Danio rerio: one gene and its partners. Each later gene encodes a partner of the first gene's protein in a complex. Links are inferred from orthologs where the notes say so. Each region holds a gene or a part of one and is shown in the gene's direction. Other genes may lie near its edges. The genes, in order: ercc2, polr2j and ciao1.

Region 1 (4,112 bases):
TCTAAACTGTGGTCTTTACCCGGCCTATGAGTACGAAGGAAATCACTTCATGAAGATGAATCTTTGTTAGGGTGAAATACTGTATATTTTATTGCATTGTAATATATGATTTAAAAATGTTTATGTAAATAAAATATATTATATAAAATATGCCCCTGTATTAATAATGAAAAATGTTCTCATTTCTTTGGTTCTTTCTCTTTTTTCCCCTCATATGTATTAAAAAATGTCATTTTAGAAGGGGGGCTTAGTAGTAGTGGCTCAGTGGTTAGCATTGTCGCCTCACAGCAAGAAGGTCGCTGGTTCGAAGCACAGCTGGGTCAGTTGGCATTTCTGTGTGGAATTTGCATGTTCTTCTCTTGTTCGCGTGGGTTTCCTCCACAGCAAGGTTATTATAGTTTTGGATTTTTTATTGGTTTTAGTTTTTATTTTGTTTTGACTTTTTGTTTTCAAAATCAGTTTTAATTAGTTTTTAGAGGTAGATTTACTAGTTTTTATTAGTTTCCATATTTTATAGTTGCTTAGTTTTGTTTATTTATTTATTTATTTTTGCACATTGGGATATTTGCTATGTACAAGATTCAAAATCAATAAATATTGTACAAAATACAATAAATATTGTAAAATAAAAACTCAACAATAATTTTTTGAAACATGTTTTCACAGGACACATGACCACTATCATCTACCACTACCACCTACTCATCTTCAAATTCAAATACAACAGCCCACAAGATAGCCTTAAGTAAAATCGTGTGCATGGCTGCCTCTAAGGTTAGACACACAGTAGTGATGGGAAGTTCAGATCTTTAATTCATTCCGCTTTAGCAACCTCTGATGAATAAAGGGACTAAGCTGAAGGAAAATGAATGAATGTAAGTTAAGTGTACTCTACTTGCTTTTCTCTTTTCTGTTTGTTTTTATTTTTTTCTTGTTTGTTTACAATGCACTCTAATTGTACCTGCTTTTCGTTTTTCTTAGCTTTTTTCATTCTTTTTTCTTTGTTTATTTAAAATACAGTATAATTTAGTGTAATCTGTGATAGGCTATATTTTTAATTGATCAAATTTTACTTTTCATGAAAAAAATACTGTTGTTTGTTTTAAAAAATCAGTCATATTTGTAGTGAAGAAAATTACAACCTACACAATTTTAGCGAAAGTTTAGTGCGGACTTCTTTTCTATATATATATTTTTTGATTAACCCCAATGGTGACAAATGTACTTCCGTCAAGGGATTGACATGACGTGCGTGTCATCCAATGAGCTGACAGGATAAGGCGGGCTTTGAAGCGAACAACCAATCAATTAAGCAAAATAGATTACGCACTTTCACTGCGACAGCGTTTTACGCTACCGAGATCGCTTGTGTACCTCGATAGAAGTCTTTTTGTGTAATGCGTTCATGACAGTTATATTAATGTGTGGAAACATACAAAACTGAATACGAGAAACACTTAAGTGCTGCAGAGAAACAATACCAGCAAACATGAAGTAAGTAAACGGTAAATTTTAACTGTTAACGTTAGCATTGCTGCAAATCTGCAGACTGGTAATGGCCCAAACCGCTGTTCATTTAACACAAGTTTTGTTTTTCCTCTAACGTTAATGTCTATTTGATCCTATTAGGCTGAATATCGACGGGTTATTAGTCTACTTTCCGTATGACTACATCTATCCCGAACAATACTCGTATATGCTTGAGCTGAAGAGGACGCTGGATGCAAAGGTATTTATACACAGACACTCATACATTAAACTAATGTTGTATCATGTAACAACATAGACCATTTTCAGGGATGTAAACCAAAACAATGGTCTCAATGTATTTCATGTTTTCCATTTGTAATGTCCATACTTTCTGAGATTTTAAAAAGAGCCATATATTGTAAAATAATGTCATGATAGCGGTTTTAACATTAAATTATGATTTAATTGTCTCATGTTACAGTTATGAAATAGTTTGAAACAAGCAGAAAATGTTCATGGGCCAAAGATATCACCACATTGAAGTGATCTATATTAACATTGTGGCTGGATGTTTTGACATAGGCCAAAAGATGCATCTATAGTTGATACACAACTAATTTAAAGTGTATTTTTTGTTCCTTCTTACAGCGTTATTTTTACAATTGAGGTAAAGTTGGTTTTATATTAGCACATTCGTTCAGTGACATGCTCCCTTTATTGTTTACCATGGTAATTTGAATATTCAGAGTGAAATCCTATTAAAGTATGACTTCAAAACAACATTAGCTATATGTTTTTAGGCAGTGAACAATGTTGTACTTTGATAGTCATGGTAATAAGATTTCCCTATTTAGAGTTTGCTAAAATATTTTTCTAAAAATATGATATTAGGGAAAAAGACTGAATGTGTGGGTATAAAACCAACTTTACTGTTTTAATTGAGATAAAGTTGGTTTTATACTCACACATTTGTTCAGTGACATGCTCCCTTTTTGTTTACCATGGTACTTTGAATATTTGGTCTGCAATCCTAGGTAAGTATGACTTCAAAACAACATTAGCAATCTTTTTTTGTATAGTGAAATGTGGTCTTAAGGTTTGCTGGTTTAAGAGTTGGTTCAGGTAAAAAGTGTAATTATAAATGTACTTACAGAATTTAATTACAGATGTAATTACATGCAGATATTTAATCAAGCATAAGTACAATGTAAAATCATATATTTACTCATTAAGTAAAGTGTAACGAATGATTCAATTTCAGTGTAAGTTCATGTTAGTAAAGGCCACTTAATATAAAGTGGGACCGAAAAATTTTCTGAAAATATTTTTAGAGAGAAAGACTGAATGTGTGAATATAAAACCAGCTTTACTCTAATATTTTTATTGAGGTAAAGTTGGTTTTATATTCGCATAATCGTTCCGTGACATCCTCCCTTTATTTTTTACCATGGTACTTTGAATATTTGGTCTAAAATCCTATGTAAGTATGACTTCAAAACAATCTTTTTTGTACAGTGAACAGTGTTGTACTTTAAAAGTCATTGGATGCTATTATGGTTTCCCTATAAATATGAATTTGCAAAGAATATTTTTCTGAAATGTATATTATTAGGGAGAAAGACCAAATGTGTGGATTTATAGGTTATCATGATGCTACTGCCCTAATTTAATTGCCCCTGGTGGGAATAATAAAGTTCACCACATCATTTTTAGTCTGATTATGAATGCATTTTTTGTAATCTCGCATTATCTGAGATGTTGGATGGGATGTTTATGTTAAACAGAGCCATGACTGAGTGAAAGTAAAAAGCAATAAAAAACAAAAAAAAATTGTTTGTCTTATGTATAGTTGTTTCATATTTTGTTTTTATTATGTGTGTAAAGGGTCATGGAGTTCTGGAGATGCCCTCAGGAACAGGAAAAACTATTTCTCTTCTTTCGCTCATCGTTGCTTACCAGAAGGTGACGGATTTTGATCGACGATTAAATATTTGAATACTTTATTAAATGACAGTCTGATGGCTTTAAAAATATCCCTGATTTATATATATAATTATATATATATATATATATATATATATATATATATATATATATATATATATATATATATATATATATATATATATATATATAATGTTTAATCTCTTACAGACTTACCCTTTAGAAGTCACCAAGCTCGTGTACTGCTCTCGCACGGTGCCTGAGATAGAGAAGGTATTTTGTTGACTGACTTGATATAGATGTTTATTACCTTTTATACATTTTTTTTTGCTTTCTAAATACACATGTCGTATGTTAATTTTTATTTTATGCATCTTTCATTTACCTGCAGGTTGTGGAGGAGCTAAGGAAACTGATGGATTATTACTCAAAGCAAACGGGAGTAAAAAACGACTTCCTCGCCCTTGCACTTTCCTCGAGGAAAAACCTGTGCATTCATCCTGAGGTAGAGGCCGCTGAATGGGCAGATTTGTCTGTGATTTCAGTAAAATCTGTGCTGTGATCTTATTAAAAAGTACTGAATGTGTGACTACAGGTGAGCTCTCTGCGTTTTGGAAAAGAAGTAGATGGAAAATGTCACAGTCTGACAGCATCGTATATTCGAGCGCAGCATCAGAGTAACCCAAATCAGCCTGTCT
Region 2 (4,271 bases), on another chromosome or scaffold:
AAATAATATCCATTAAATAGTTGTTAAACAGTAAGTTGCATCATTTGGATCTTTGAAAGGCCATTGAAAGAGCAAAGATAATATATCTTGTTTTATTTTTATTTATTTTTTTACATATTTGCGGATATTGCAATGAAAACTGGAAATGTCATTTTAAAAATACTATCTTGTTACCTAAATTACTTCATAGAGGTAATTTGTTCAGTGCAAAATTTCTGATATTTGTTAAGTTGAGGGAGTTTGATAAGTTTCTTTGAGCTATTAGCATGTACAGCGTGTGGCTCAATTTCATTTACATGCAAATATTATGCTAGAAATTCAGTCCTGTTACTTTCAGTCCTGTTACTTATAAGAGTTACAGGAATGAGTAACAATAATGAAAAGCATCTTCTGATACTTAATAGAATGAACAGTTTTTATTATATTATTCATCTGATTTCCACACGTTATGGATGGAAATGTTGAAGTTGTAAGATATTTAAAGGAATAGTTTTCTCAGAAATGACAGTTCCACTACATGACACACACACACACACACACACACACACACACACTCTCTCTCTCTCTTTTCACTTACTGATTTGGTTTTCTTGTGAAAACTTTTTTTCCCTACAATTTACTCAGTTAAGTTCTGTACATCATATACTTAAATGTTAAGTAAATTATGTTATAAAAAACATGAATTTCAGGCCACAGTTTTCTTGAAAAAAGGGAAAGTGCCTTTGCATTCCTATAAAAATACATTTTTTTATGTAAATCGTGATTTTTTAAATACAAAAATCAAATGTTTGAAAGTGTAACAAACCATATTTTAAAAAGAAAATCACTTTCTTAAGAGGAAAACAAAGTAATTACCTGATAGACTTTTATTCATGCTTTTTAAAAGACTCGTTAGTTTGGGTAATATGACTGAAAAATGCATTCATCTGCCACATAATACCTTGTAAAAACTCAAATTAAGTCATTTTATGTGGACCAATACATATTTTGAAAAGTTAAGTATGTGTGTTATTAGATTCCGCCTTGAAAAGTAATTAAAAGAAGTTTAATTGTAAAGAGTTACAATAAGCAAAATGCATCCATTCGGTGGAATGGTCAATAATTACTCCCATGCTAATCACCATACTCAACTTTTACAAGCGATGGTCAAAATTAGATATATAATCCAACCATTTTGACCCAAAGTGTATTAAAAGACTCATAATAAAGGTACCTCTTAACTCTGTCGTTGTGTTGAAAATACTACGACCAGACTACGACACAATACTGCCCCCGGTCGTTATTCACTCAATATTACCCTTTTTCCCATGTCTTCCCATGTCATGCGCATGCGCAGTACAACGTGCGTCCATTAGTAGCATCGTTCGCTGCTGGTTTTGAAGCAGGATGAACGCGCCACCAGCATTCGAGTCTTTTTTGCTGTTTGAGGGAGAAAAGAAGTAAGTGCACTATAAAGCTGTCTTTGCTATTCAATTATACTAACATATTATACTAGCCTATAATAAGAGTAAATATTCAGTTGGAAGACAGGAGGGAGATTCAAAAGGCTTTAGCTTGTTGGCTAACGACAGGTTACGTTAGTCAGTCCATCTGAAAACAAAATACAACCTACTTCTGTTTACAGAGTGCTTTATACAATACAGCTTAAATCATATCGACGATTGATTCATTCACTATTTAAGTTTATTGTTCATTATTTTTGTATAAACGAATACAATTTCAGATGCTAAGCTGTTTGAATAAGACATGTAATACCAACATTTAGCTCAATTAAGTTTAAGTTGGTTAAGTGACCTTGTGAATCTAAATAAAAGTATTCGTTTTTAGACGTACTTTAGGTCATGATACCATGACATTTTTTGAATACCATGTAAATACCATAGTACATGTACAGTAATTGGTCTCAGCATCAAATTAAATAACAGAGGTAATACGTAACGTTAACATATAAAATTTATGCAAATAAGGTGTGCTTTAATGTTTTAAATAACTTTTAACTATAAAAATAAGATTGTCAAAAATATTAGTAAAATAACCTTCCATATAAATATGAATATATTTTTTAAAAAGTAAACCTTTATTGTAATCTACATTGATTAAAATATGCAGTAGTAAGTGCTTAAACTAAATTGTTTTGCCTTGTAAATGCCTCTTTCTGACAGATATGCTTGACAAATTTAAGTAAAATTGGTTTTGTATTCGCACATTTGGACTTTCTCCTTAATATAATTTCAGAAAAGTTTTATTTGCAAATTCTGAATAGAGAAATCATTAGCAGCCAATGACTATCAAAGTACAACATTGTTCAGTCAGGTAAATAGTACTTATGTTTTTGAGAAGTCATATTTGCAGGCTATTTTAGACTGAATATTCAAAGCAGTGTGATAAACAATATATGCACAGTGTTACAAGGTTTCACTGTTCAAAAATTACCAAATGTCTGAATATAAAACCAACTTTACCTCAATGCTTGACAATACTTTTTGGCATAAAAAAATATTTTTGCACTGAATGACATTTAAGTGAGCATCTTCTCTTAATAAGGGTTAAAATTATAGTAGGATAAAAAGATGATAAATATGATGATAAAGCTTATTATATTTTGTATATTTACCTAGAAAAACATTTTTCATCTCTGATCTACTTAACAAAGTGACATATTACTGCCAACATTGTACCATGATACCACAGGGTCTGCGGGGTCTTAAGAACTATTAAAAGTTGATTAATCAATGTAGAGAAATGTAAGGCCCTTAAAAAGTATTTTAAAATCCTAAATGCTATTTTGCAAGGTGTTAAATTTTATATAATTTTGATTGTGCAATGTAGGTATGGTTGTATGCTAAAGTTTGCCTGAATTAAATCTAAATGTCAGGATGCTGTGTAGTTTATGAAATCAATGAAATCCTGCTAGATTTGACATCATGCAGTTTTGTTTACTGCAGTTATCAAGGAAAAACCATTATTTCTGCAGTTCTATAGGCACCAACCTGCTGAATTAGCTATATTTAATAGATTTTAATTCAATATAATTATGTATATCAATATGTAAGTTTTTTACATTAATATTTAATAAATATACTGTAAGTTAAAATCTCTTTATTGTTTCCGATTGAAATCTTAAGTGATAATAAGGTCTTAAGGTCTTGTATGGAGAGAGTCTTAAAGGTATTGAAATTCACTCTCTGGTTCCTGTATATACTCTGTACCAAAACATTACTATTTTTAAAAGTAAGGGATTGCCTAAAATTTCTGTTCAACTTCTTTTTACAGGATCACAATAACCAAAGACACCAAGGTGCCGAATGCATGTCTGTTTACTCTAAATAAAGAGGATCACACACTGGGAAACATCATCCGATCGTAAGAGACCAAACTTTTGATACACTAAAACATTTTCAGATATTTATGTGGGTTTTGTAATCATCCTATATTTACATTAGAGCAATTCCATGCAAATGTCAACCTTGTCATGAAAAAGATTAGGTTTTAACTCTGTGGTTAGTTGTTTTGGAAAATATAAACAGATGTTTCAGTATAATGTTAACACATACTTTCTCTGTGAATGTGTTTTGAGATCTTACTGCAAATGTCACATTTGTAACATTGGAATTGCTCATTAGGCAGTTGCTGAAGGACCCCCAGGTGCTGTTTGCTGGATATAAGGTTCCTCATCCTCTGGAGCATAAGGTTGTGATCCGCGTTCAGACGACACCAGACTACAGTCCTCAGGAAGCCTTCACTAATGCCATCACGGATCTGATCAGTGAGCTGTCCCTGCTGGAGGAGCGATTTAGGGTATGTTCATGTGTTTGCATTGAGTAAAAAATGATTCCAGAACAAGCGCTCCTGAAAAAAATGCACTCTATAGCAGCACTGCAAAAGACAATTGAGGTAAAGTTGGTTTTGTATTCACACATTCAGACGTTCTACTTAATATTATAATTTCAGAAAAGTATTATTTGCAAATTCTAAATAGGGAAATCATATCAGCGTCCAATGGCTTTCAAAATGCAACATTGTTCATGATCAGTTAAATGGTGCTAATGTTGTTTTAAAGGGCACCTATGGTAACAAATCTACTTTTCAAGCTGTTTGGAAAGACGTGTGTAAGTAAAGTGTATACACCGTCATATTGGGGTGATATAAACACACCCAGTGTTTTTTTTTTTTTTTTTTCTTCAATTTAACAACATAAAAACGACAGACCAATTGGAGCAGTTTTTAGAGCGACCGCAACTTGATGTAAAAGTGTGGTCCCCCCGCCCACC
Region 3 (3,524 bases), on another chromosome or scaffold:
GCAAGCTAGTGGCGACAGCAGCGAGGAAAAAAATTCACCAATTGTCAACACTGACCTGTGTTTTTTCTGATACTTTTGCAGCTTCTCGCATCAGCCAGTTACGACAACAAGATCTGTATTTATAAAGAGGAAGATGATGACTGGGAATGCAGAGCCACGCTAGAAGGACATGAATCCACTGTCTGGAGTTTGACCTTTGACCCTGAGGGACGGAGATTGGCTTCTTGTAGCGACGATCGAACCGTAAAGATCTGGAAAGAGTCGACAACTGGAGATGGTGAGGAGTTTTAGATACAGTTTTGCATAGTTAATCTTAAAGTCTCCGTGAAATCAAATCTAACCGTATTGATTTTGTTAGCTCACTTTGCTAGTTTTGTATAAATTCATTTGTGCATGTCATTAAAAAAAAAAAGTTTGCCCTTCTAATCTAAATTTAAAATCTGAAAATTCCCTTCCTGTTTGTTTTCGGTTAAATTCTTAGATTAGGCCTGTCTGAGGTTTTGGGTGTGGCTAACATACTTAACCACGCCCCTCCAGCTGTCAGTTTTGACAACAAACTGAATTGGTGAGGAGGATGAGTCTGTTGTAATAACTGTCTCCAAACCCTTTCCCCATCTTTCTTGTAATGTAATGTGTATTTATATAGCGCATTTATTGTGTATGGCCTACATCCAAAGCGCTTCACAATCATGAGGCGGGGGGGGGTCTCTCCACACCACCACCAGTGTGCAGCATTCACTTGGATGATGCGACGGCAGCCACAGGACAACAGCGCCAGTGCGCTCACTACACACCAGCTATTGGAGAAGCGGAGAGACAGTGATACAGCCAATTCAGTGGAAAGGGAAGATTGGGAGGCCATGATTGTAAGGGCAGATAGAGGGACTTTGGCCCGGACACCAGGGTTACACCCCTACTCTTTACGAGACGTGCCATGGGATTTTTAATGACCAAAGAGAGTCAGGGCCTCGGTTTAACGTCTCATCCGAAAGACGGCTCTCTGAATGAAATGCCGACTTCACTACATCCAATCAGCTCTCAGAAGAAAAACAAGCCACGCCCACTGATTTCTTATTTAATATTTCGTTTAGCCGCCTTTCCACTGCACACGACATTTGGACACGACTGTCAGAATACGCCCCCTTGTGGCAGTCGCACAGTATTTTCAGTGTTGTCATGCACCATTGGGAGAGGAGCTGTTCTGGCAGTGTCCGAAATAAAGGAGCGTGAAAGCAAGAACCTTTATTCTCTGTGCATTTACATGGTTTAATGAAGGAATGAATACTAGAAACTCAAAGACCGCTACAAATATTGGAGGGAATGTGGAGACAACATTAAAAAATTTATTTTTATTACTTTCTTACTTGCGTTTATGAACAGTTTTTTTTTTAATAGACTTTTTATGATTCAAAAAATAACCAAATAAAGTCCTGTTTCTCTTCTCGCGCGCTCTGACCAGCTTGTACAACACTGGAATACATCACATCCGGTCAGCCGGTCGCATCCGGTCAAGTCGACAATATAAATCTAAGAATTCTGCTTTTATGTTTCTGTTAGGTTCTTCGGATGAGTCCTGGAAGTGTATATGCACCTTGTCTGGATTCCATGGGAGAACAATATATGATATTGCATGGTAAGATGTGCAGTATATATAGGAGCAGAAATGGCTACAGGGTTTCTGTGGTTATCGAATTTGTATATACTGAATAATTAGCCGTCCTATATATATATTTTTTTTTCTAAATTTGTGTTTAATGGAAGGAATTAGTAAAAAAAAAAAAAAAAAAAATATATATATATATATATATATATATATATATATATATATATATATATATATATATATATATATATACACACACCGTAAATACACCTAAATTGTCAAAACAAACTTTTTATTTTGGATGTGATTAATTTTTCCCGAGCACTAATTGTTTTACTTTGTGGTTCTCCCGATTTCAGGTGTCGTCTGACCGGTGCTTTAGCCACCGCATGTGGTGATGATGGAGTGCGTGTGTTCAGTGAAGACCCCACTGCTGACCCAGAGCAGCCCATCTTCGCCCTGTCAGCCCACGTGCCCAAAGCCCACAATCAGGACGTCAACTGCGTGTCCTGGAACCCGAAAGAAGCAGGACTTCTGGCCACATGCAGCGACAATGGAGAGTTCGCCATCTGGAAATACAACTCTGCCTGAGCCGGTGAATGACGCTCAAGTAGACCGAAAGCACTGAATCAGTGGTAGTTCACCCAAAAATGTGAGGTCTGTAATTTACTCACCCTTTACTTGGTCTTTATTCTCTTTCGTCTGTTGAACACAAAAGCAGATATTTTGATGAAAGCTTACAAAAACTGTAGCCCTTGACAACCATAATAGGAAAAACATATACTATGGAAGTCAATGGTTACAGGTTTTCAGCATTCTTCAAAATATCTTCTTTTGTGTTTAACGGAAGAAAGAATCTCAAACAGGTTTGGAATAAGTAAATGATGGCAGAATGCTAATTTTTGGGTGAACTTCCCCTGTAAACTGGTCATAATGTGGAACAATAGCTGTTTTATTCTCACTTTGAGTACTGCAATTGTGCGTTGATGACAGCACTGGTCAAAAAGACAATACACTTTTTATTAAAATCGAATTTATCTGTTAGACTTTTTGATGGGTCACAATTTCTTAACCATATTGATATACTTCAGTTTTGTCTGTAGCTTAAAATGCCTTCAGGGCTTTACTTAAATAAAGCCTGCTAAAGATCAAAAGCAGCTCCTTTTTCAAGTGAATTATCATTTTTAATGCTGTATATTTTGCTGACTTATGTACTTACATTGTCCCAAATGTTTTAAAGAATGTTCAAATCCAGAAAAATTATCAATTTTAACTAGTAAGACTGAGTGTGTGTGTTATGGCGAGTTCAGACTGCATGATTTTAGTTGCCGAAAAATGCCTGAAATCGCAGGTAAATCGGTGCTCTTTCACATGAGTGACAATCACACAGTGTGAACTATCAAGGGCGCAATATGAGAGAATTGCCGATGAGTCATCCGTGAGATATTTGGCATGCTTAATATCTGGCGCTGTCGGTAATTCAAATCATGCCGTGGGAAATGTGTTCTGATTGAAAATAACATTGGCGATCACCTTCAGCCAATGAGAGAGCAGCATCCACTAGTATGGGTAACCGCAGAGAGATTAAAGAGGTTTCAGAATAGCTGATCTGAGTTGGGTCAATCAACTTTGAGTAGATCAACTCAGAGTTAAGGCTGATTTATACTTCTGCGTCAAACACCGGCGTATGCTACGGCGCTGACGCATAGCCCTTCGCCGTGGACGTCGCCGTCACTGACGTGCACCTCTCAAAAAATGTAACTACACGTCGCAACAACGCGTAGCGCAAGCTCTGTGATTGGTCGGCTTGGTATCGCTGATGAGTCGACCGAGAGCCGTGTGAATGGCGCGAACCCAATGTAGCGATTGTTTACAAGTGTGGAGTCCCGTGAAGGAGCTCCAGATGGAAAGTTTTGTTTTG

What was found.
Region 2: ercc2 (region 1) and polr2j share a complex: the UniProt entries of both Homo sapiens proteins name them as parts of the TBP-based Pol II pre-initiation complex. The link is inferred for Danio rerio from reciprocal best matches to the Homo sapiens genes ERCC2 and POLR2J.
Region 3: ercc2 (region 1) and ciao1 share a complex: the UniProt entries of both Homo sapiens proteins name them as parts of the MMXD complex. The link is inferred for Danio rerio from reciprocal best matches to the Homo sapiens genes ERCC2 and CIAO1.

What each region holds. Positions count from the first base shown.
Region 1 is NC_133190.1:26,156,351-26,160,462, reverse strand, and holds the start of ercc2 (general transcription and DNA repair factor IIH helicase subunit XPD), read left to right. Parts: upstream 1-1,302; 5' UTR 1,303-1,489; coding exon 1,490-1,494; intron 1,495-1,629; coding exon 1,630-1,729; intron 1,730-3,354; coding exon 3,355-3,432; intron 3,433-3,624; coding exon 3,625-3,687; intron 3,688-3,805; coding exon 3,806-3,919; intron 3,920-4,009; coding exon 4,010-4,112. UniProt on the Homo sapiens protein: ATP-dependent 5'-3' DNA helicase. Component of the general transcription and DNA repair factor IIH (TFIIH) core complex, not absolutely essential for minimal transcription in vitro.
Region 2 is NC_133180.1:67,353,866-67,358,136, forward strand, and holds the start of polr2j (DNA-directed RNA polymerase II subunit RPB11-a), read left to right. Parts: upstream 1-1,350; 5' UTR 1,351-1,386; coding exon 1,387-1,439; intron 1,440-3,273; coding exon 3,274-3,363; intron 3,364-3,623; coding exon 3,624-3,798; exon of another isoform or gene 3,799-4,271. UniProt on the Homo sapiens protein: Core component of RNA polymerase II (Pol II), a DNA-dependent RNA polymerase which synthesizes mRNA precursors and many functional non-coding RNAs using the four ribonucleoside triphosphates as substrates.
Region 3 is NC_133183.1:6,290,807-6,294,330, reverse strand, and holds the end of ciao1 (probable cytosolic iron-sulfur protein assembly protein ciao1), read left to right. Parts: intron 1-81; coding exon 82-277; intron 278-1,557; coding exon 1,558-1,633; intron 1,634-1,962; coding exon 1,963-2,194; 3' UTR 2,195-2,883; downstream 2,884-3,524. UniProt on the Homo sapiens protein: Key component of the cytosolic iron-sulfur protein assembly (CIA) complex, a multiprotein complex that mediates the incorporation of iron-sulfur cluster into extramitochondrial Fe/S proteins.